2 linked regions of the Danio rerio genome follow. The protein of the gene in region 1 purifies or fractionates together with the protein of each later gene. This does not show direct contact. Links are inferred from orthologs where the notes say so. Each region holds a gene or a part of one and is shown on either strand. Other genes may lie near its edges.

Region 1 (11,701 bases):
TTAGACTATAGTGTTATTGACCAACCACAAAAAAGAAGCACTTTCCTTTTTGTGTTGAAGCTTATTCTTTCTTTAGTGCCCAATTGTGCTTCAACTATAAAACACAACAGAGAAGATTCATTTCTTCAGTCCTTTTTTCTCTGAGGTGTGCTACAGCTATTGTTCCCATAATAATGGTGACGAGAAGATCTATATTAAATTGTTTGTGTGGAAAACAAACATTGAATGCCCAACGGTATTCATCAGAACCCATAACTAAAAACTAAAACTTTTTTTTTTTTTAAGTGTCATAATCAATGCTTGCTTTAAAGGACTTTTTGGTTTCCCTTTTTGTCCTTTTGAACTAAACAGTAACTCTAGGAGTAAAAGACGACGAGATAATGATTAGTGAGGATAACGTAAATGATAAATCATGTTAAGATCAGTTCTCTATCAAGGCCGCTAACGAAATGCTGAATCAGTCTACGTATACTAGGACTACAAATCTAAACACTACATATCTACATTGGTAAATGTTTAAATGCCAAACTTTCTCCAGACCTCATCCAGACATAGTAAAAAAAGTGCTTAATGAAGGCCAAGAATTTTCAGAGCCTAACTACATTTAGTCGAAAGAGTTTTTAAAACAAATGTACAACTCATTTCAACTTCGAGATCCAGAGTCCTCTTTCTGCTTGCCTTTTTAAGCATTTGTGCCTTCATCTGTTTCATTTCTGGCTTCACTGGTCTGAAGAAACATTTAAGCTAATGTAAGTCTGCCAGTGTAGCAGGACAAAAAGGGAATGTTAGAAGTCTTTGAAAGCTGCCTTCTTCGTCATCTTTGTGCATATCTTCGGTCTTTATTGAATCAGTTTGTCAATATGGAATCTGATTTTCCTTCTAAAGTTCCTTCCTTGAACTGAAACAGTGCAACTGAAACATAAGCTAGACTTTTTTTTTACTTTGTTTTGTTTTCACCATTTGGCAAGTGAGAAGATCACCTGAGACTGAGTGCTTATTTTTTAGGCAGTGCAATCTCCAAGCCTGCACTGCTAAACGCTACACAGAAAGGCAACAGACTCTCCAGGCAGCCTGCCTGAACCCCACCCTGTTTTATCTCTCTGTTCCGATCGCGCACATGAGCGGCAAGAACAGAGTGTTGCTTTTCCACCAAACAAAATGTGCAACAAATTTAACACCAAGCAAACCATGTTTGGCTTAAAGGCATTCTACATTTAGAACCCAAAATAAAGTCCATGTGAACAGGAGAACGGAAAACAAAAGCCACACTCATGTTGGCCAGGCAACATCGCAAGAGCTTTTAGACAGCAAGAGCAGATTATCGACGATCAATGAAAACTAGAGCTTAAACCAGATCAGTGCATTACATCAGTCTGTTTTTTTTTTTCCTCGAAATCCATCCGCTGTTTGCAAGTTGTGCAGCTCAAGCAAAACTTCTTATAGGCTCACCCCAAGATGTTGAAAACAACAAAACAATGAGTGATTTTCAAACTCAAGCGAGGAAACTTGTGCAAAAAGAAGTCCAAAACTATAGATGATGCGCTTCTCTCGGCTGTTCTGCCAATGGCTGCTTTTTCTTGCATTTCTCTTCAGATCTCGGACAAGGTCTGCGTGTTCTTTGTCAACCTTTACTGAAAAGTGTGAGAAAATCGACTACTTTGACAAAGCTCCGCAGGCTTAGTCCGACAGGGCGTGTACCATCCACGGGGGCCAAATCTCTGGGTCGGGTAAATTGCCAGTGACTTCCTGCGCCCTTATTTCTGGATTTTCCCCATAGAGGTTTGTTTTCTCTTAGTGGTGACAGCAGAGCGAGCAATCGCTGTCATCGGGAGATAAACAAAAGTGAAAGATCCTCAAGCCCAACTGCTTTGGACTCATGCCATGCATTTTTCAGCGTGATGGGCAGGTGTCGAGCCTCTGCTCTGCAGTTGATGTGGCTTGATCTGGATGTGGATCGATCTGATAGAGAAGGAAACAGTGGCTGTGAGATGAATGCATATCAACACTGCTGCTACCTGTTTAAAATAACAATATACTGTGCCTAGTTCACAATGTGTATCTGATCACAAGTAGATAATGCAAAGTACAGGTGTGAAAGGTTTTGAACGTGCATTTGACCGGATTGCTCAAACATTACGAAGTAGAATGATTTCTTATTAGACTCAATGGGTTCTGTTTAAACGATCTAGGCGCAATGTTGCATGGCGCAAAAGCATTAAGGGCATGTCCAAATCCATTTTTGCTAATTTAAGGACAGAAAAATATGGTTTGCGCCATGGTACGTGGTCTAAGAGGGTTGGGCTTAATCTCTTAATAGATTATGAGTGGGTGTTGAGCATTAAACCAATCTCCCACATTCTCATTTCCCATCTACTTTAAGAGTCAGCTGCATCGCACCATGGCGCATTTGCCATTTACATTGCAGACTTTGTAAGTGCAAAAACTGAATGGAAAAAGTGAATGCTTAACTAGCCAAAAAAGTTTAACAGACCATCTGCAGCATGAGGATAAAGAATGACCCTCCTTCATTTGGCATCTTTACTTTTACTCTTCACTTTCATGGATAAGAAAACGGTGTTGCATGCACTCCACTAAAGACATCCATTAGTCTACATATTTAATTTAGTTTGTTAAGAGCAAAGATTTGTTTTAAAACTATTACTAAATTCAGTTCTAATTTCCAGGAAACTAATAAATTAATAATGATAAGGGCCCATATGGTGATGCAGACGTCTCCAAAACCCGACAACTTGTTTTAATTAAAACAAAAATATGCATATAATAAATAATACTACTACTGATAATAAAAAGAACATTACAATAAAAATGCAAATTTTCAGGAATAAACTGAAAAAAAAAAAAACTCGACAGGCATGGAGGCAATGGTTTTATATGTATGTATTAAATAACATTTTTTTTCAATCATTAATATTTATATATATAGAGCTGTGAACCTATACTGGTCTCACGGTTCGGTTCCGATTATAATGCCATCGATTCGGTTCAATTCGATATCTCGGTGCATAACGGTGCATTGTTGACAATGCTTTCCATACACAGTGTTGTATTTTGGGGGGTGGCTATAACAAGCTGTCTGTATAAACACACACACACACACATACACAGCACCACACTGTCTTTCATTCACACACACACATACACAAACATAGACAGCACTAAACAAACACATACGCACATATATATACGTATATATATATATATATGTATTAAGTGTTTGAACCTGCATAGGTGCATAACTAATGCGCTCTGCGCTGGACTACAGCTTTTACTTTGTCAACAGCGCAGTCTATTTTAGTTTCTCAGAATAGCAACGCACCAACAATGCGCCTTAACACACATACTTTATATACCAGCACACCCATTAAGTCTACAAAATAGCGCAAATGAATTTGCTTTTTAAACAACATGGCACAAAGCATAAAAATTAGGGTTGCGCTGGTCTGAAAATAGCAACAAAATACGCCAAACACATCTTGCGTCTTATTGCGCAGGGTGTATGATAGGGCCCTATATATTTAATAATTTCCTTTAGCACAAAAAAGGTCTGTGTATTTGACTGGAAAATAGATTTTTGAACTATGTATAAAATAAGCTTTAAATGTAATTAACAATATTACTCTATTCAAAGCAACATTCAGTGACTCCAGTTAAAGCCTCAAAACCTTTGGATAATGCAAGTGTTGGATAATAATCTTTTCTAGTGATCAATTCCTGATCCATAGCAGTTTATCCTACTTTAGATATATTCGCCTAACCAATTTTAGATAAAGAAAATGAAAACTATGTTTAAACTGTAAAACAGAATAAGGTGTGCAGGCCTAATAGGAGTTAACTGGTAATAATATAAAGCAATTATCTATCATTATATAAAGTAGACTACTTATTTAATGTGATTTTATTCTTGCAAATTAAGAAAATTGCATCATTTGTTTAAGTATTATGTAGAAAGATCAGACACCTGCCAATACCCACCAAAAGACCCTCCCTCGTCTTAGAAGTAAGGACAAAATAGACACAATTAAACACCAGGTGTGAGGTGTAAAGTGCCTCCATTTTCCACTTGTGATCAGATCCACAAAAAGCACCTTAATACAGGTTGCAAACAGAGCTTTAGCTGCCAAAACTACACCCGAAGCTTACCTCAGAGTAGGGTGGGGGAGGGCGAAAGCGGAACTCCTGGATGTAGGCGAAGAGCGGGCCATCATAGTTCTCCCGCCCCGGCGAAACTTCCAGACAGTTCTGCCTCTGCTCTTCTGTGACCACCTCTGCATAGGCTGGAGGAGCTGAGGACAATACAAGCCAATGTTAATACTGTTGTCATGCCAACCACGTTACCCATCTCTTGTCTGCACTCAACTAACCCTACTGCTGTTTTATTCAATGAAAGAGAGAGAGAGAGAGAGAGAGAGAGACCATTTCATGGCACAAATTAATCAAATTTAGACACATTTGACAAATGATACTTTCCTATAATAATAAAAAAAGATTTAAAACAATAAAAAGAAAACAAATAATATTTAAACAATATAAAAATCTAAAACAGTATACTAGAATGTACTTTTGATAAGAATTCTATCATTTTTGAAGGATTCACATTTAAAAATAATTCATTAAAAGGCTCAGATAAAAAAAAAGGCTGATAATATTAAAAATAGGGCATTGCATGTTTTATTCATAGAAACACTAAGCCACAAGTTAGAAGAGCAGTCTATAATCTTAGCCTGTGGTCTAAGAAGCATCCCATAATATGAGCTGCATACAGTATATGCAGAATCTCGATTCTTTACACATCCCTTAAAAATAAGTAGATAAAAGAGATGTTGCTTACCTTCAGGCCTTTCAGGGAGGGCCATGCCTAACCAGCTCATGGTCATGCTGCACTGGCTGCTCACAGAAGATGTACGGCTGCCAAAGGGGTGGAGAGGAATGGTGCCAATCACCAGGGGCAGGTTTAAAGACAGGTTCATGGCTCCTGGGATATCAACATACACCTGCAGATTAAAATATTGAGATATTTGGTTAATTATTTTTAATAAGTGAATGTTGATTTAATAATATGACAGTAAAAACAGATCCAAAAGCTCATGCAAACAACATGTATTGTGCAGTAATATGAAAAAACTATGGTATGTAAAACTTTACATCCAAACTAAAATATCAGACAACAGAAAACTTTTATGCATTTTGAATATTCATTTACAAATTAACAAGCTTAAAAAATCTGAAAGCGGGTTTAAAAGCGCAAGTTTGTTATATATATATATATATATATATATATATATATATATATATATATATATATATATATATATATATATATATATATATATATAATTTTATTTATATAAAATGGTGAAATGTACGATGGTATTTCTTTATAAGTGACACTGCCAACTACTGGACGATTGCGGGTTGTTTTAAAAATATTTATTTTAGCACATGAAAAAAAAAAAGAAAGATAAACATGTACTTCTTTATATATCGCTGTACTTCTACACTTAGTATAGAGCTGTACTCAAAGTTAAACAGAATGTGTTTTATTTTCTTCATAAATTGATAAGATATTAGAACACGATGAGATTTAAGACTTATAGGTATACACATTGAGTTTTTGAAGAGTTGAAAATGTACATAGCTCATTTGTTCTCACTTGTAACAGACTCGATATTTGGATGATAATCAATATGTCATGACATAAGTCAATTCAGTCATTTAAGAATACAAGGATCCTGTTTAATTGAGTAGGGACGACCTTTTCATTGTGCCAGAGAATTTCCAATTAATTTAGAGGAACAGCCTCTGCCAAAAGGCAAGAAACTAAATAATTTGTTTGCTTCTCAGCATTCTCAGTATATCAACGAATTGAGCAATAAACTGAAGCAGTAAACTCTAATATTCAGATATAAAAGTCAGCATCATTGGTCCTGACCATTACAGTAGTAAAGCGGTAACAGATTGGTTTGAAGGGTTAATAGGTCATTAGCACTCAATGACCTGAATTTCATTAGATATTCTAAGCTGATCTTCTTATCAGTATGTTCGGGTAGAACTTGGCATAATCTCATTATCATTCATAGTGCTTCATGTGTGGAGGAGCCCTTCGAGGAACCGATCTTTCAGCTGTTTGAAACTATGTTATAAAAAAAAAGATAGGGAATTGTACAAACTAAAATAAATACAACATTTTTAAAAAAGCACAAGGCTTACCATAAGTGAATACTCCACTCTTATGATACTGCAGTCCAGGATGGAGGGCGATACAGGAGGAATCTTCAGCATCTTTCCATTCCATGTCTCTGTCTTGCCAGAAGAAAGCGACTCTCCTCGGATGTTGGCCACCAATTGCTTGATTTCCTTCATCTTCCCTTTGGCAAAGAAGGTCTGTGTTTGGTAAATGGCGGCCTTTGGCACAACCATACGCGAGGAACAGTTTTCAATTTCAGCAAAGATCTGAATGGACTCTCCTGTGAGAAGACAAAATGTATTGTTATAGGTACCATAAATTATAAAGACTGTAATAAATCTGTAATATCCAACAAGCACTAAATGGCAATAAAATTAAAAACACAAATGTATATATATATTCAACTATGCCTTTTGGTCATTTTATACAACATAAAAATCAGAATAACAAAACTGTAACTTCAATTAATAGATTTTACAAACATTTCAATCTGTTAAATCGAAGAAAATATAAACAATTACCAAAATAAGTTTTTAGAAACCCTAGTATGATGCAAAATATTGAAAATGTAAACTATTAGGAGGCTTACCTGGAGTATAACCCTTTCGTTCAATTTTGGCACTTAGGGAAATTGGACCTGAGGTGCAAAACCAGCAGCATAAAGTCTTTTCTTTAGTTCCTGCCTGCGGAGACTGTGAAAGTAGAATAACAACACTTTAGAATACAAAATAATGGTTATTCTCCAATGCTGAGTAAAGGGATGTAAATGATGCAAACGCTCACCAGCAGAAGAGGAGTGTTGATGTCTATGTGTTCAAAGACAGTGAACTCTTTCTTTGTCTTCATGGGCAGAAGCCACGGCCTGTGCAACTCAGCCTTTACCCAGTAGCGCACACTGCCATGCTTCCCTTCGAATGAGGTAGCCAGAGGTCTGCATGTGCACGACACAAAGAAACATTTCATTAAGCATTACGACATACAGAACGGGTGAACAAATGTTAGGTCTGGTGCCACATCCACTCACGTTTGTGGAAGCTCAAAGCTGAATGCATACTCATGCCTTCCTGAATGAATAGTGGTGAGTCCCTCCTCGGAGTTATCATCATCTGAAACAGAAAAGAATAATATTCCAAATATACCTTACCTGCCAAAGCATTGATCATCTTCTTGTTTATTACACGATTGAATTTATTCAAAGAGCATACTTGTAAATCAAGAACATGTATAAACCAAGTTGTTTGATTCTCATAAACCCTCAACACCCATGAATTATGAACATGTATAATCATTGTGTCACATGTGTTTATTCTAAAAGGGAGATAAAAATACTCATAAGCGCTACGGCAGTTCATAAGAAGGTGAATGTGAAATAAAATAACCATTTAAAATCGAATATTTGTTTGTGTAACACTGAAAAACACCGGTGGCTTTCGTTTCGCCAGCTCAGCACTGTATTCAGCTTAGCAGAGGCACGGTAAACAAGTAGGGAGCTGTCAATCAAGGGCAGACTCGAGCAAGAGAAGACCGGCCTAAACCGGAGCCCGCTGCTTCACTGTGCCGGCGCGCTCATTACGTATTCAGTGTGCGGTAACGCGCGCGCGCGCACAGGACCAGCAGGGACAAGCCTCCCATTGAATGCACGCGTGTGCTGCGGCGTGGAGTATTTTTCTCCCATTCAGCAAAAACACGTGAGAAAAATATGACAGATTGAAAAAAAAAAATCTCACACCAGCAATCACAAACGACAGAAAAACGATCAGTTTCCAAAACAAATTCACCTTTATTGTAACCCAAACATTCATACAGAAGCAGTAAGTCACAATTAGACATTGTTTCGACATTATTAGACATTACTTCGATTCGAAATATACAGGAAGTTAATTTCTTTGAAATTACAGTAAGCATGCAACTAACAAAATCATAACATGCACTATCTGATTTGTATACAGAGTTTCAACAGGCAAACATTACAATGTTTCTCCATCTCAAGCTAAATATTATGGAAAACATGTACAATTTGTATTTACTAAAACCACGTTTGGCCCACTTGTTATTTCGTAATGTGAGTTGAAGTCCTGTTCGGTGCCAGCAGTACAATGTGGAACAAAGCGGTGGTTGCAAGTTGTGTGGCAACAAACGACAACTAAACTGTCTGGTGATTAATATCCATAAAGCATGTACAGATGCAAAAACTGGAATGCGAAGAGTCTCTTTGAGTTGTTGTCGTTTTTGCACGTTTGGAGTGACTCAAGGTGCCAGATCAAACATATAGAAACTAAGAATCAGTTATTATAACCAGGCCGTGAGTTCTATAAATGCCAATAAAACTTCCGACCTAATGAATATGCAAATAAGTATTTACAGACATACAACGTGAAGATATCGGACGTTCGTTTTAGATTTTATAATTGCACCGGCCAACTCCATGAATGAACAGTAATGCAGATATGTTGTCGGCCTTTTTCTGATGAACGTTTGACTGCATTTCAATTCAGCCCCATAATAAGTGTACGCTTGCTTACTACAGCTACTGGTGCAAAGTTGCTGCTGTTTTCCCCACTTTCCGCAAAAGCATGATGTCATAGAAGACACGTTGACGCCTCCACCAATCAGAGAAGAGAACGACTAGACACTGCATCAAAACAGGATTGAACCGCTTCTAACAATGGGTGGAAACTTAAGACATTAAACCGAATTATGTACCATTACGCCTTTGTACTGCATTTATTTTATAACATTGTTCTCCCAGAATCAACATACAGCGGTAGAGCACAGAATGCGAATATCGTTTTAATAAAACTGTAGTACAAGACGAGCAAACTGACCATTCATTCAAGCAGCTGACACCTGAGAGAATACTGATATGTTGTTTAGAGTACAAAAGAGATGCTGAACATCACGCATTTGGTAGATCTAAACGGAAAATGATCTTTGCCAGATGGTTCTTGTGAACGAATGCGTATGTCATATATTGGGTGTTTTTAATTTGACAAACAACTCAATCAAGTCCCGCAAATTAATGCATAATTACAGTGTGAAAAGAACTGAAATGTCTGCACACAATAGTGTCTACAGGTTCACCAGTCAACAAGTACTGTGCAGCATCCAAAGAAGCCTATGTCATGTCATTCTGGACCACTGAGCATCCCACCAGAACATTCATATCTGCTCTTTTTCTGAACAAATCTACATGTTTGATCGGCATGCTTACCTCTTTCATGGCCAATTAGGATGTCTCTATGATTGAGATATTCCACTTCTTCTGTGTAATTTTGAGTGTAGGCAGTGCTGGATCCAGCATTTCGTGATTCTGTCCAACGAACTTTCGCAAATCCTTTTGCGTTTATTTTAAGAGACTTCACGCGAATCTCTCCGGTGACTTCGATAATAACTCTTCCTGAGACGGAGTCCCCACTCGAGAAAACAGGGACATTGCTGTCATTAAGACAGTCGTAGCTTACAATGAAGCTTTTTACCTTTCCTAGCACCATGGTGGCAAGAAAAGATAATGTACAAAGTTCTTTAGACAAAACAAGAAAAAAAAGTCACACGGAAAAGTCTATGAAAATAATCTCTTATGAAAAAAGCAAGAGTTAACACTGGATAGTGTCATTGAGATGCGAGAGCTGAATAACAGCAAAGGATGCTGTTATCACGTCTCGGCGAAGGCTTGATGGTCTGCAATGAAAGACGGGGAGATTCTCCCCACCGGCTCACTTTAAGCGCTGCTCTTGTGAAAAACAAGTTAGTGCGCATGCGCGAAGCTGCAATCCGTCCCCCTTCTTCCGCTTTTTGTGCAGTTCTTTGACCGGGGACTCAGGACAAATAACAAGCGAACAGCTGAGCAGTGTATTAAAAGAATACGTGGAAGTCTAGACGTTATTCACAAGTTTTAGCTTTGCATTATTATTTTAACTTTTTGTATAAAGTGCCATGTGTTTGTTACATTTGTTACATGTATCAAAACTGAGCTCCGGTTACTCAATGGGGGAATAATACACAATGAACATTAAATACAAACCTTTGGCAATTTATTGCTATGATGACTCCAGTAATATATTTATCCATTGTTCCAATTTTTTTTCTTTATATAACTACTTATTGCACTTAAACGTAGCCTACTTGACCAAACAATTTATATATTTGACTCGATGTTAAATAAATACATAAACAAATAGAATAACTAAATAAAAATAATGCTAATGTAATTTGAACTGATTATTTATTTTATGAGAATGTATGTAAGATTATGAATACACTACATCAACTAACTTAATATTCTGCTCATTTTACAGATTTTTTCAGACTCTAAATGTCATGCTTAAAATAATATTTTATAACTTTCTGTAAGTATATGCATTTGTATGTTACAGTATGTACTTCCCTTTCAGTTTATACAGACGCAGATTCTGCATCTGCTGTGTACAGTACATGCTGGTACAGGTTGTACAAACCGATGCGCCACTCAGCGGCTACAGAAACTCCTGCGCCTGCTCGTTTTCTTTAGTAGCGTTTGTGTGTGAACGAGTTAAGGTGGATTGTGCTGCCCTCTGGAGTTTCAATAGTGGGACGTAATTCGAAAATTATTTCCACTCAGAAGTAATAGGTTTGTATGAAATAATTAACTCTTTGTGATATAATGCCAGATTACAGCGCACATATTACAAAGCATATGGTTTCTTGTGATGTTTGTGTAGATGCCCTCCACTAATATCTAATATAGTTAAATGTGAGCAAAAACGGCTCTAGAAAAAGTGTTCATTTTTTAAACGTTTATGTTTTGCCTATATAATAAATATCAAAACGTATCAATATCAAAAAAGAAAAAGAAAAACAGGTCAGCTATCAAATAAATCACTTGCTGTTAATATATTTATTATCTACTTCGATAATTAACAAAACACTTACATAAAATATAAGGGAACGTGCATATAATTGAAAAAGGATAGTATGCAGGTATTTTTAATGAAAAAAATATTTAGTAAAAAAAAAAGAATAAAAACGCTACAGTTTGACACAGAAAGGAGCATCTATCTATCTATCTATCTATCTATCTATCTATCTATCTATCTATCTATCTATCTATCTATCTATCTGTCTATCTGTCTATCTGTCTGTCTGTCTGTCTGTCTGTCTGTCTGTCTGTCTGTCTGTCTGTCTGTCTGTCTTTCTGTCTACTTTAAAACTATTAGAAAGCTATATTGAATGGTCAGGAGAGAGGAGTAAACTAGGGCTGGTCTGATTTGTCAGAAGGTCTATTGACATTCAGGAACTTTCTTTTGTGTGCAATCATTTCGGGGATGGTAATGTTTGCTTGAATTTGCATTTACCCAAAGCGAAATAGAAATGAAACCAGTCTTTTGTCGTTACACAGAGGTCTTTTGCCATATTCAGTTGGCAATCAAGTTAAATCATTTCTTTTAGATTTTACCTCAAGCAAAGCTCTCGCATCATTTAAAGATATTATGACTAATTTTAAGAAACCTGCGTTTATTG
Region 2 (10,823 bases), on another chromosome or scaffold:
AGCATAGCAAGAATAAAAGAAGCAACACATTTATATTGCACTTCTTATTTTTTATTTCATCAGCTGAGAATAAAACAGTACTCTTATATTAATCATTCAACTGTACACATTCACTTAAGAAAAATAAATATAATCCAAATCATGAAATCAACGTTAATGTGTTGTAGATCACAGGCAAACATGATTTACAGTGTTAAGAAAATAAAGAAGCCACACGTCTGGCCTTTTAAGAGCTACAAAACGCTGTAAGACACCACAACAACGACACTAAACATCAGATGTGCGTCGTTCAGATGGACTGTATCCATCAGCATTTATTTTTTTACATTTATTTTAATGCAAAACATCTGATATTTAGAAAATAAAGTGCCCTGGAGCGAGACAGAAGAGAATAAAGCAGAGCCTGATGGATTCAATTCCAGCATAAAAACCTGTAAACCAGAGGTGTCCAAACTCTGTCCTGGAGGGCCGGTGTCCTGCTGAGTTTATAGCTCCAACTTGCTTCAACACACCTGCCTGAAGGTATCGCGTATATATATATATATATATAACCAGTTAAACTCTGCTGCTATTTTGAGATTTCCACCTGGATTTTGCCTATCCAAATTTAAAAGCTTCCCAAATCCACATGCAGAGGTGTAAATGCAAAAATCTGGTATCATTTTAAAGAAAACCCTTTTAATTTTCATTAAACACTATTAAAAGTGTTTAAAATAACATTATATATTGTCTGTGCTATAATAAAAAATTTAAAAAAAGAGGCGCTTTTTGTATTTTTTTTTTCATAAACTCAAATTTGAAAGTGTACCTTTTAGGTTGTGTGTGGTCTAGCGTGCTGTAAGTAATGTTGGTGGTTCCTGCACATGTCTGTAATCATAGGAAAAAAGAAAAATGTCTCCACCATAATCTATGCAAAAGTTATTGTGTTCCAACTGATGAGAGGTGCTGTACAAGCCACAGGGAGCGATCATTGTTTTCATATTTCACTATTCTTTTGTTTGATCAAACATAATTCACTGTGTTTGGAGCACATCAGACATATAAAAGGATTACTTATGCACATCAGCTCAAAAACAGAGGAGAATGGCCCTGAAGCGCACAGCATAAGGTAAGAGATGACAGCTGTCTGTGCTATCTGGGGCTGCTTATTGATCATAAATGTATTGTTTTCACTTCTGCGCCATGGAAACACCGCGATTCATTCGGCAACTGTTTGATATGTGAATATAATTCAGCAAAAAGAATGCAAGAACCGTATGAGCACCGGCAAGAGCTTTCATTTGAGCTATAACTTGTACATGTGTCATATGAAAAATATGAAAATGAACCAATGTAAAATACCCAGCTTGGATATTCAAAATACTTTGTATTTAAGTGTAAATAACTTTTGTACAGTAGAATAAAAAACAAAGTGATGCATATGTGCAGAAAATATAGATTTTACACTTTCAAACGAAACCACTTAAGGGGATCTGGTGCAATGCTAGCCCTTTAAATATTAAAGCAAAAGTCGATGAACGTTTAACTGGTAAGAGCTTGATTAGTTGCATCAGGTGTGTTTGATGAGGGTTGGAGCTAAACTCTCCAGGACACCGGCCCTTCAGGACTGACACTCCTGCTGTAAATGAATCAAAATCATTTTCTAAATTGCAAATATAAGGAAAATGTCTCATTCAGCTTGCTCAAATCCTTTTTTTTAACAGTATATTAGTATTTACAGTCCTGGATTTTGTATTTTTTGCATCTGAATAAGAAACAGACCACTGAAATGCACTGAATATCCATGACGTCAGGCCTAAATCTTCAGTATAAATTCTGCAACATCTCTACAAACACAAACACACATTTGATTTATTTTTTTAAATTATTAATGTTAAATGTTCAATTTTTTTATTTTTATTATCGTTGTTTTTTAATTAAAGAACATTTTATTTATTTATTTTTTGCATTAATGAATGTGGTAACACTTTACAATATTACTTAATATTATTTAATGTATTTGCTAACATGAACAATACATTTATTAGTGTTTATTCCTCTTTGATAATGATAGTTAATTAAAGTAAATTCATGCATTTATTTATTTTTTTACATTTTATTTTAATAATGCAATATTTAATGATGAACTATGATTAATAAATGCTGAACAAATATTATTGGTTCATGTTAATAAATACATTAAATAATAAAAGCCTACACTACCTGACTAAAGTCTTGTCGTTGATCCCAGTTGTAAGAGCTGCAAAAAATATTTTGACTTCTAGCTGATCATTTGGAAAAGTGTCAGACGGTGGATTATTCAGATCAATCGTCTGTTGAGCTGCAACCCAAACATCACCAATACTGGAGAAGACCTACTGGAACCAGCATGGACCAAGATTCTCACACAAATCAGTCAAGTTTGGTGAAGGAGAAATCATGGTTTGGGGTTACATTCAGTATGGGGGAGTGCAAGAGGATGGCAACATCAACAGCCTGAGGTATCAAGACATCTGTGCTGCCCATTACATTACAAACCACAGGAGATGGACAATTCTCCAGCAGGATAGCGCTCCTTCTCATACTTCAGCCTCCACATCAAAGCTCCTGAAAGCAAAGAAGGTCAAGCTGCTCCAGGATTGGCCAGCCCAGTCACCAGACATGAACATTATTGAGCATGTCTGGGGTAAAATGGAGGAGGTGTTGAAGATGAATCCAAAGACTCTTGATGAACTCTGGGAGTCCTGCAGGAAGGTTTTCTTCTTCATTCCAGATGACTTTATTAATCAGTGATTTGAGTCATGTCAGAGATGTATGGATGCAGTCCTCCAAGCTCATGATGGAGTCAGACACAAAATTCACTCTGTCTCCACTGCAGCAGGACTTTATATTCTATACTGGACATGATCATATTTTATTGTGCTCAAATAAGCGTCATCTAGAGGCTTTTGCCTTTTCTATAAGCCATTTCTGATACCAAATGATCAACTAGAGGTTATTATTTGTTATTCCTAAAACTTGGCGATAAGACTTTTATCAGGTAGTGTATTGTAAAGTGTGACCAATAAACTAGTGTGTTTTTTAAAGGTATAAAAAGAGTGCTAGCTGCAGATTTGTGAACACTAAAACAGCTAAGATTGTTCATTTAGTCAAGTGGTTTGTGAGTTTATGACTGTCAGGAATGGCAATATTCTAACAGTGGATTGTGTTGATGACATTAAATTGCATTTTTGGTCTTTTTTTTTATTCGAAATATATTGCTATTGTTGTGAATTCAACCACATACAGTACGTACATGTCATCTCTGTAGGCATTTCCAGGTCACAGCTCATGGTGAAAATCAAAATAAGTTTATTTCACATTAAAAAACCATTAAACATGAAGCCTATTTTTTTGCAATTGTGTTTTTTTTAAACAATAATGAATTGAGAATGGAATTTTATTGCATTTCGGGACACTGCAAAAATGCTTTCTTACTTATTTTGACTTGTTTCTAGCTCAAATATCTAAAAATACTGCGATAAAGGAGCATTTTCAAGACAACTAGTGTTGTTTTCAGGAGTAATATGTTAAAATAAAGAGGGATTTTCCTTAAAACAAGCTAAATAATCTGCCATAGGTGAAAGCAAATTAATGTTTTGCATTTAGATTATTTTACTCAACTCATTGGCAGATTATTAAGCTTGTTTTAAAGAAAAACTTACTTAATTTTTACATATTATTTCTAAAAACATCACAATCATGTTTATTTGTCAAGAAAAAGCCTCTTAATTTAAGACTTTTTCAACATTTAAACAAGAAACAAGACAAAAACTCAGCATTTATAGCATTATAATGTCAAGTTTTAATGTAAAATGTAAAACAGGCTTCATTTTTCACCATGCAATCAGTAATTACATCAGCAACTTCTTTGGATTGTGAGCTGAAGTTTGACCTGTTGCATATTACGCCTGTGTGTGTGTGTGTGTGTGTGTGTGTGTGTGTGTGTGTGTTTTACTAATAAAGTGCAACGCATCCTACCTCTCTGTGTCTAAAAATGACATGCAAACTCAAAGCTCAAGAAAAAAAGCGAAAGGAGAGAGTTTGTTGCATGTTGAGACGCAGGTTTTGTGCATAGAGCGAGCTGAAGTGTTTGTTTCATCGCAGATCTTTAACTAAGGCAGTATAAAATCAGAATGGCGAGAAAATCAGAGAAACAGAAAGCTGAGAGATGAGGAGAGCGTCCAGGAAAACACTGCTGATCTCTCGGTAGCAGCTTCTGATATGATGGTGATTATGAGCTGATGTTTTCATGCTTTACTCCTGACCGAAACCTTCTGTTTCCTCGATGGCGAAGAGCAGCTTCTCCTTTAACTGTTCATAGCTTTTATAGGGCGGCAGGTCTAGACGGTTAAAGCTGGTGGAGTCAAAAAAAAAATATATATATATATACAGAGACAAAATGATTGATTAATAATAATTCCTGACATTTATAAGGCACTCTTCTAGACACTAACAGCGCTGTACACAAGGGGGGAGAAATCTCCTTAAGCCTAGTTCACACTACAGGATTTTAAACATCAGCAGATCACTGTGCCGTTCACACTACATGACCTGACTTTGTGTGTTTTAATCTCTGTGGTGTTCACACTACGCAACACTCCGTGAACGATCCACAAGAGGGGGGTCACACACTACATGACAACAACTCATTCCCCAACAGCTCATTCAAGCTACCAAACCACAGCCAATGAAATTATGAGGGAGGAGTCATCAGAAAAAGCTGAACACTATTGGCTGCTTGTGTGCTGATTACACCTCTGACAGCGTTTCAATCATTGGCAGAAGCATTTAAAAACATCATCAAATCAGCGGATTCATCAGCGGATCAATCACTCATCTGCATGTTCGAGTGGATAGATACACAGAGAGTTTTTAATTTTTGTAATTTTATAACTCTTTGAAATAAACTAACAAATAACACCCTGCCGTTTTCTAACTATCAGTGTATTTCTTTCTGACATTGTTATTTTTTTAATTACAAAACAGTAAAGAACTGAGCATTTCTGCCTTAAATTACCATATTGGTCAAAATGACTGCATGCATGTCTGATACTTTTTAATGTGACTTTAAATATGTGTGCATTTTCTTGCCTAGCAACTTCCTGCTAACATAAACAAAACTTTCTGATGGCAAAAACATCAATTTACTTCAGATATCTTTCAAAACTGCATATTCTGTGCTGTGAAATAGCTCCTGTTTGAAAGTGGAAATGAAAGCCAAGCCTTTGCGTGTTCCAGTAGCTTAACTACATATTTATAGGCTGTATTACCAAAAAAGATTATATTTTTAGGGTAATGGTGTCATTAAATGTGATGCCAGACATTCAAAGCTTAATTTTATTATCTCAATAGAAGCTTTGAATGTAAATATGTTGTGCTATATGGCGTTTTATATGAGAACGGTCAGAATGAGCAGTATGGTAATTCTAATAATTACACAATTCTAGCTCCACTGTTAATATATCCTCCTCTCATGTCTGTACTAACGCAGAATGAAGCGAGTGCATCGATGCCCATTCTGACCAATCACAGATGTTTCTGCTGAGCTCCTTAACACACAGGCATTCAGCTCATGCTGATCTGCTCTCTCATTGGCTGCAGCTCGTCACTACATCTGACCACACGTGGGGTTGAGTCGCCTGACTGCTCTGGAATATTTAGCATGCTGAATATTGGATTTCCGTCTGCGAGGTGTCGGCGACGCGTCAGCAAGCCTCGTTGATGTGTTGTTCAGTAGTTCACACATAAAGAGCGGCGAGCGCCGAGCACCCGCAGATTTCTTCGCGATCACAGCCCGATCCAGCAGCGAGCTCGTTAATCGGGCTAAAATCAGGCTTAAAATCCTGTGGTGTGAACTAGGCTTTATCCCTTTCCCATGTGGTCTCCCATCCATGTACTGACCGGGCGCAGCCCTGCACAGCTTCAGTGGGCGACCATGTGAGAGTTGCAGAGAGCCAGCTGCTGGCATTTCTTTTTAACAGAGCAAGAACCTCTCACAGTATTCATTCATTTTCCATCATTATTAAAAATGTGTAGAAATCAATCTCTCAGTTAATCAGAACTTACGAAATATAAAAAAATATTATAATAATTCCAAAGGAGGGCGAATCATTTTGTCTGTACAAAGAATCACGGTTTGCATCCACTAAACTTCTGACTGCCACATATTTAGTCTGGGAGTTTTGCAGAAATGAGTGAATTGCTGCTCAGTTATGTCTACTGATGAACAGCATTTGATAATGCATCATAAAAAACGATGAATATTAGGATTTCTGATCTTACCATGTGTGGCTCCTCGGCAGCCAGTTTTCTTTTCCCACTTTTTCAATGCAAAACTTTTGCGGTCCGTTGCTGCCTGCAAAAATAAAAACACAATCTGATTAATATTCCCGATTATTATCAATATTAATATTTTTTTCAACATGAGGTGAAAAGCACCGACATGGCATTTAAACCATTTTCCTTACATTCATTCGTTCATTCTCTTTTCGGCTGAGTCCCTTTATTAATCTGGGGTCGCCACAGTGGAATGAACCGCCAACTTATCCAGCATATGTTTTACGCAGCAGATACCCTTCTAGCTGCAACCCAACACTGGGAAACACCCATATATTCTTGCATTCACACACATACATACACTACATACGTCCCGACAAACATCTGTACATTCATTCACCCTCAAGTTGTTCCAAACCTTATGAGTTTCTTCAAAAGACATTTGGAAAGATGCTGGAAACCTGTAACCACTGGCCTGCATGGTGTTTGTTGTTCCTACTATCGAAGTCTATAGTTACAGGTTTCAAAATAAATAGGAATTAAAATATACTACATGTAATCTGTTAAAAATCTAAATAAAATTAAGTAAATCTATAAACACAAAACAAGATGTGAGTAGTGGTTTCTCTGGGTAAACAATTGGATGCGGCTCCAGTGCTTGACCTGAAGTCAGTTCTGGCTCCACCTGACATCATCAACAGAAGATGGCTATGGTCATGTCCAAGATGTTTGGCTTCATTTTTTTGTATAGTAGACAGTATGTGGAGACTATTTTACCCACGCCAACATGGGGAGAACATGCAAACTCCACACAGAAATGCCAATTGACCCTGCAGAGGCTGGCCCTGCCAGTGACCTTCTTGCTGTGTGGTGAGAGCGCTACCCACAGCGCCGCCCTTCATTTTCCTAACATTTAGTAATAATTTGATCTCCTTTATTTTGATTACCCTAAACGTTACATTTTTTTCTGCAGCTTCAGGAAATGCACATAATGCATGTTCGGCTGTCAATGTTTAAGCATCTATTATGATTATAAGAACTATAGTTTTGTGTGTGTGTGTATAATATGGTATTTTTTTGTTTTTATTATTATTCAGAAAAAATAATTTGCATTTTTTTTAAATACAAAAATGCTGTCACTTGCCATTTTTGTTTATTTATTTGTTATTTGTATTTTCAGAACAAGTTTTATTAACTAAGAATGATAAAAACAGATGATTTCAGCATAAATATGTACACTCCCTTTTAAAAAATAAATATTTCTATCCATAATTTTTGGTGCATTTAAAGGTTCAGGACACCCTGGAGTACTTATTTTGAGAATTTAACATATTTTATGTCTCTTTTGATTTTATTATTTATTACATTGAATTAATATTTAATTAACTATTAATATTTTTAAAACATTTATATTTTCCCCCAACATGATAATTATGGTGTACAAACATAAATATTTGCACAGAAATATATGCTCTTTCTGTGTTGTGTACTGTTCTAATTGACTACCCTTTCATTATGTTGGTGGCTGTTTTTGTCCCATTGACTTCCATTATAATCACATTTTTTGACTGCACACCCATGACAGCATGTAATCATGCATTCTTCATTGTTGGTGGTTTTCCCTGTTCAATGTGTTACAATGTGTGGTACAATGTTACTGTAATAAAAATAATGTGTGGCATTGTTATTGTTACTGTTGATCATCATAGGCCTGTGCAAACATGTTTCTGGTCTTTATATGGAGTTCTGTGGAGTAAAACAGCAGATTATAAAGTGTGTGCGGATAATGACATTTACTATGTTTACTGTGTTCTGAGAGCTGGGGTACGCTCTTCATACCTCGCTTAAATGATCTAAGATGATTTGGCAGATCTTGGATCTTTTAATCTTAATAACTGATCTTTGGCTAATTTGGTTCGTCAAACAAGTTCGCGAATCAGATTAAAATGTCAGGATGAACTGATCTGAGATCGATGTGTGTGTTGGGAACGACTGATCAATCAATCCTCAAAATCATGATCAGCAATGCAATGATTGGCTGACAGCACAGCAGCGTAATGACATCATCTGATTAATGTTCAATTATCCATGTGAGCTAAATTACATAAAAATCAAAGGAAATAGTTTGTTAAATATGGCACGCAATAAGTTTTTAACTTTGTTGTTTGCTGCAGACTTACACTTTCATGTGTCAGGAGTCTTTTAACAGATGTGTGTGTGTGTTAAGCAGCATTTAAGATACGTTACTGTAACGCCTGGGTTTAGGGTTGGGGTAGATGTTAATAAAATACAACAAATGGGAAATTTATTAAATAATGTAAATATTTCTTGTTAACTTCAACCGGGAGTTTGCATGTTCTCCCTGCGTTCGCGTGGGTTTCCTCCGGGTACTCCGGTTTCCCCCACAGTCCAAAGACATGTGGTACAGGTGAATTGGGTAGGCTAAATTGTCCATAGTGTTTGAGTGTGTGTGTTTGTATATGTGTGGATGTTTCCCAGAGATGGGTTGCGGCTGGAAGGGCATCCGCTGTGTAAAAACTTGCTGGATAAGTTGGTGGTTCATTCCGCTGTGGCGACCCCAGATTAATAAAGGGACTAAACCGACAAGAAAATGAATGAATGAATGAATGAACTTCAACCGCAACCATATCCAATCTAGCAACAACCCTCTGCCGGCCACGCCCACTCCACCCTCTGCCCGCAGAGCTCCACGCCCATCTCGAAGCATTTTTTGAGCATTTTCTGAGGTAGACTTAAACCGAAAGAGAGGGGTTTCATGACCCTTTAAACAAATCAGTTTTATTAAACTGTTTTTTTTTTCAGAAACAGAATTTTGTTTTTTCACAGAAAGACAATAAAAGAAAAATAATACATTTCAATTCAAAAGAGTTATTGCAAAAAAAAAAAAAAAATTACAAACTACAAAATTTCAACTTAATATGATATTTTATGTCTCTCTTGATTTTCTTATTTATTACATTGAATTAATATTTAATGAACTATTAATATTTTTAAAACATTTATATTTTCCCCCAACATGATAATTTGGGTGTACAAATATATGAAATGTGATCTTCAGTTTTTTTGTTAGATTAGTTCAAGTTTTACCTTATATGTATGGTACTGTCATGTTCACCAGCGAACAACCACCAGATGTCGCTGGTAAACATTCACGCACAAACATTCACACTCATTGAACTACATATCTGCCATGTTATGGACTACAACACCCAGTCAGCTGAAGCCACTCACACAATGATTATTTGGACTATTTAAACCCCTCTTTTCCACACACATGTTGCCGAGTCAAGTTTACTGATAGTGACATTACAACACATTTCCTTTGTCTGCCTTTGCCGTGTTTTGATCCTTGCCTTGTTTATTTATTTAATTCTGTTTGCTGCCTGCCTCTGACCATCTGCCTGTTATTTTGACTTCGACTCTGGATTGCCCTCATACATCTGTTTACACCTGTATTGACCATTGCTTGCCTGACTACGATTAAACCTGCATTTGGATCCTTCCTTCTGTTGTTGGTGTCACTCCCCGTCGTTACAGGTACTAACTAATTGAATATATATGCACACATATATTATTTTAATGTTCATTTAAAGTACTATACCAAAGTATTTTGTGCTTTTATTTTTCACAATTATAAACCAGTCAAACAGTGACTCTTACCCATAAGATCAGCGAATCCCCCAACGGGAAGTCTGCATGTGCCGGTCACAAACTGCAGCAGACGCATGCGCTTTTCATTGTCCATCTCCTTCACAAACTAAACACACAGGTTTATAATGCATGGATAATTATAATATCATCACTTATAAATAATGCATGAAGATTTATAATGGCAGATCAGCCTGACCTGCCAGAACCAGACGATCTGTTTGCTGCTGCGAGCGTAGTGTCTGTAGATAGAGTTCCTCTGCCAGTCGCCCAGATCGATCTCCTGCATCCCACACAGCATAACCTGAAGCACAATTACACATGAGGAACACATTGTGACTGCAGATCGATGTGTGTGTTGTGAAGGACAGATCTATAGACCCTTGAAATCATGATCAGCAATGCAACGATTGGCTGACAGCACAGCAGCGTAATGACATCATCTTATTAATATTCAATTATCCATGTGAGAAAAATTACATAAAATCTTAAGGAAGGCATATTTACACTTTCATGTGTCAGGAGTCTTTAGCTATTTATTTAGTTTTACATTTTAGATCGGATTTTCCATTATAGTAGCCATAGTATTATTATAGTAGTCGGTTCCTAATCGGGGTAAAGAATAACTGAATGTTTAACTAATTTTGCATCACAAAAGCATTTTGATATTGGTAAAGGCGTCTGCAACTTTTGTGAAACATCAAATCACCATCATACTGTCAAAACATGTTCATAACTGAATAAATGTATTATTATTTTTAAAAAAGTCGCATATCGTGCATGTTTATTATCATACACAAATTGTACTAAAGCGATTGTACACGTTTGTATTGGAAAAAGTTCATATCAATACATAT

The links.
Region 2: the proteins of arrdc3a (region 1) and itcha purify together in Homo sapiens (co-immunoprecipitation; 5 studies listed by BioGRID and IntAct, counting the BioPlex papers as one, with this or other methods). This does not show direct contact. The link is inferred for Danio rerio from reciprocal best matches to the Homo sapiens genes ARRDC3 and ITCH.

Annotation. Positions count from the first base shown.
Region 1 is NC_133180.1:53,052,016-53,063,716, forward strand, and holds the start of arrdc3a (arrestin domain-containing protein 3a), read right to left. Parts: upstream 9,879-11,701; 5' UTR 9,697-9,878; coding exon 9,417-9,696; intron 7,312-9,416; coding exon 7,230-7,311; intron 7,137-7,229; coding exon 6,989-7,136; intron 6,898-6,988; coding exon 6,795-6,897; intron 6,486-6,794; coding exon 6,229-6,485; intron 5,013-6,228; coding exon 4,850-5,012; intron 4,305-4,849; coding exon 4,162-4,304; intron 1,960-4,161; coding exon 1,891-1,959; 3' UTR 1-1,890. UniProt on the Homo sapiens protein: Adapter protein that plays a role in regulating cell-surface expression of adrenergic receptors and probably also other G protein-coupled receptors.
Region 2 is NC_133181.1:60,194,937-60,205,759, forward strand, and holds the end of itcha (itchy E3 ubiquitin protein ligase a), read right to left. Parts: intron 10,271-10,823; coding exon 10,166-10,270; intron 10,076-10,165; coding exon 9,979-10,075; intron 6,377-9,978; coding exon 6,304-6,376; intron 4,376-6,303; coding exon 4,276-4,375; 3' UTR 4,121-4,275; downstream 1-4,120. UniProt on the Homo sapiens protein: Acts as an Acts as an E3 ubiquitin-protein ligase which accepts ubiquitin from an E2 ubiquitin-conjugating enzyme in the form of a thioester and then directly transfers the ubiquitin to targeted substrates.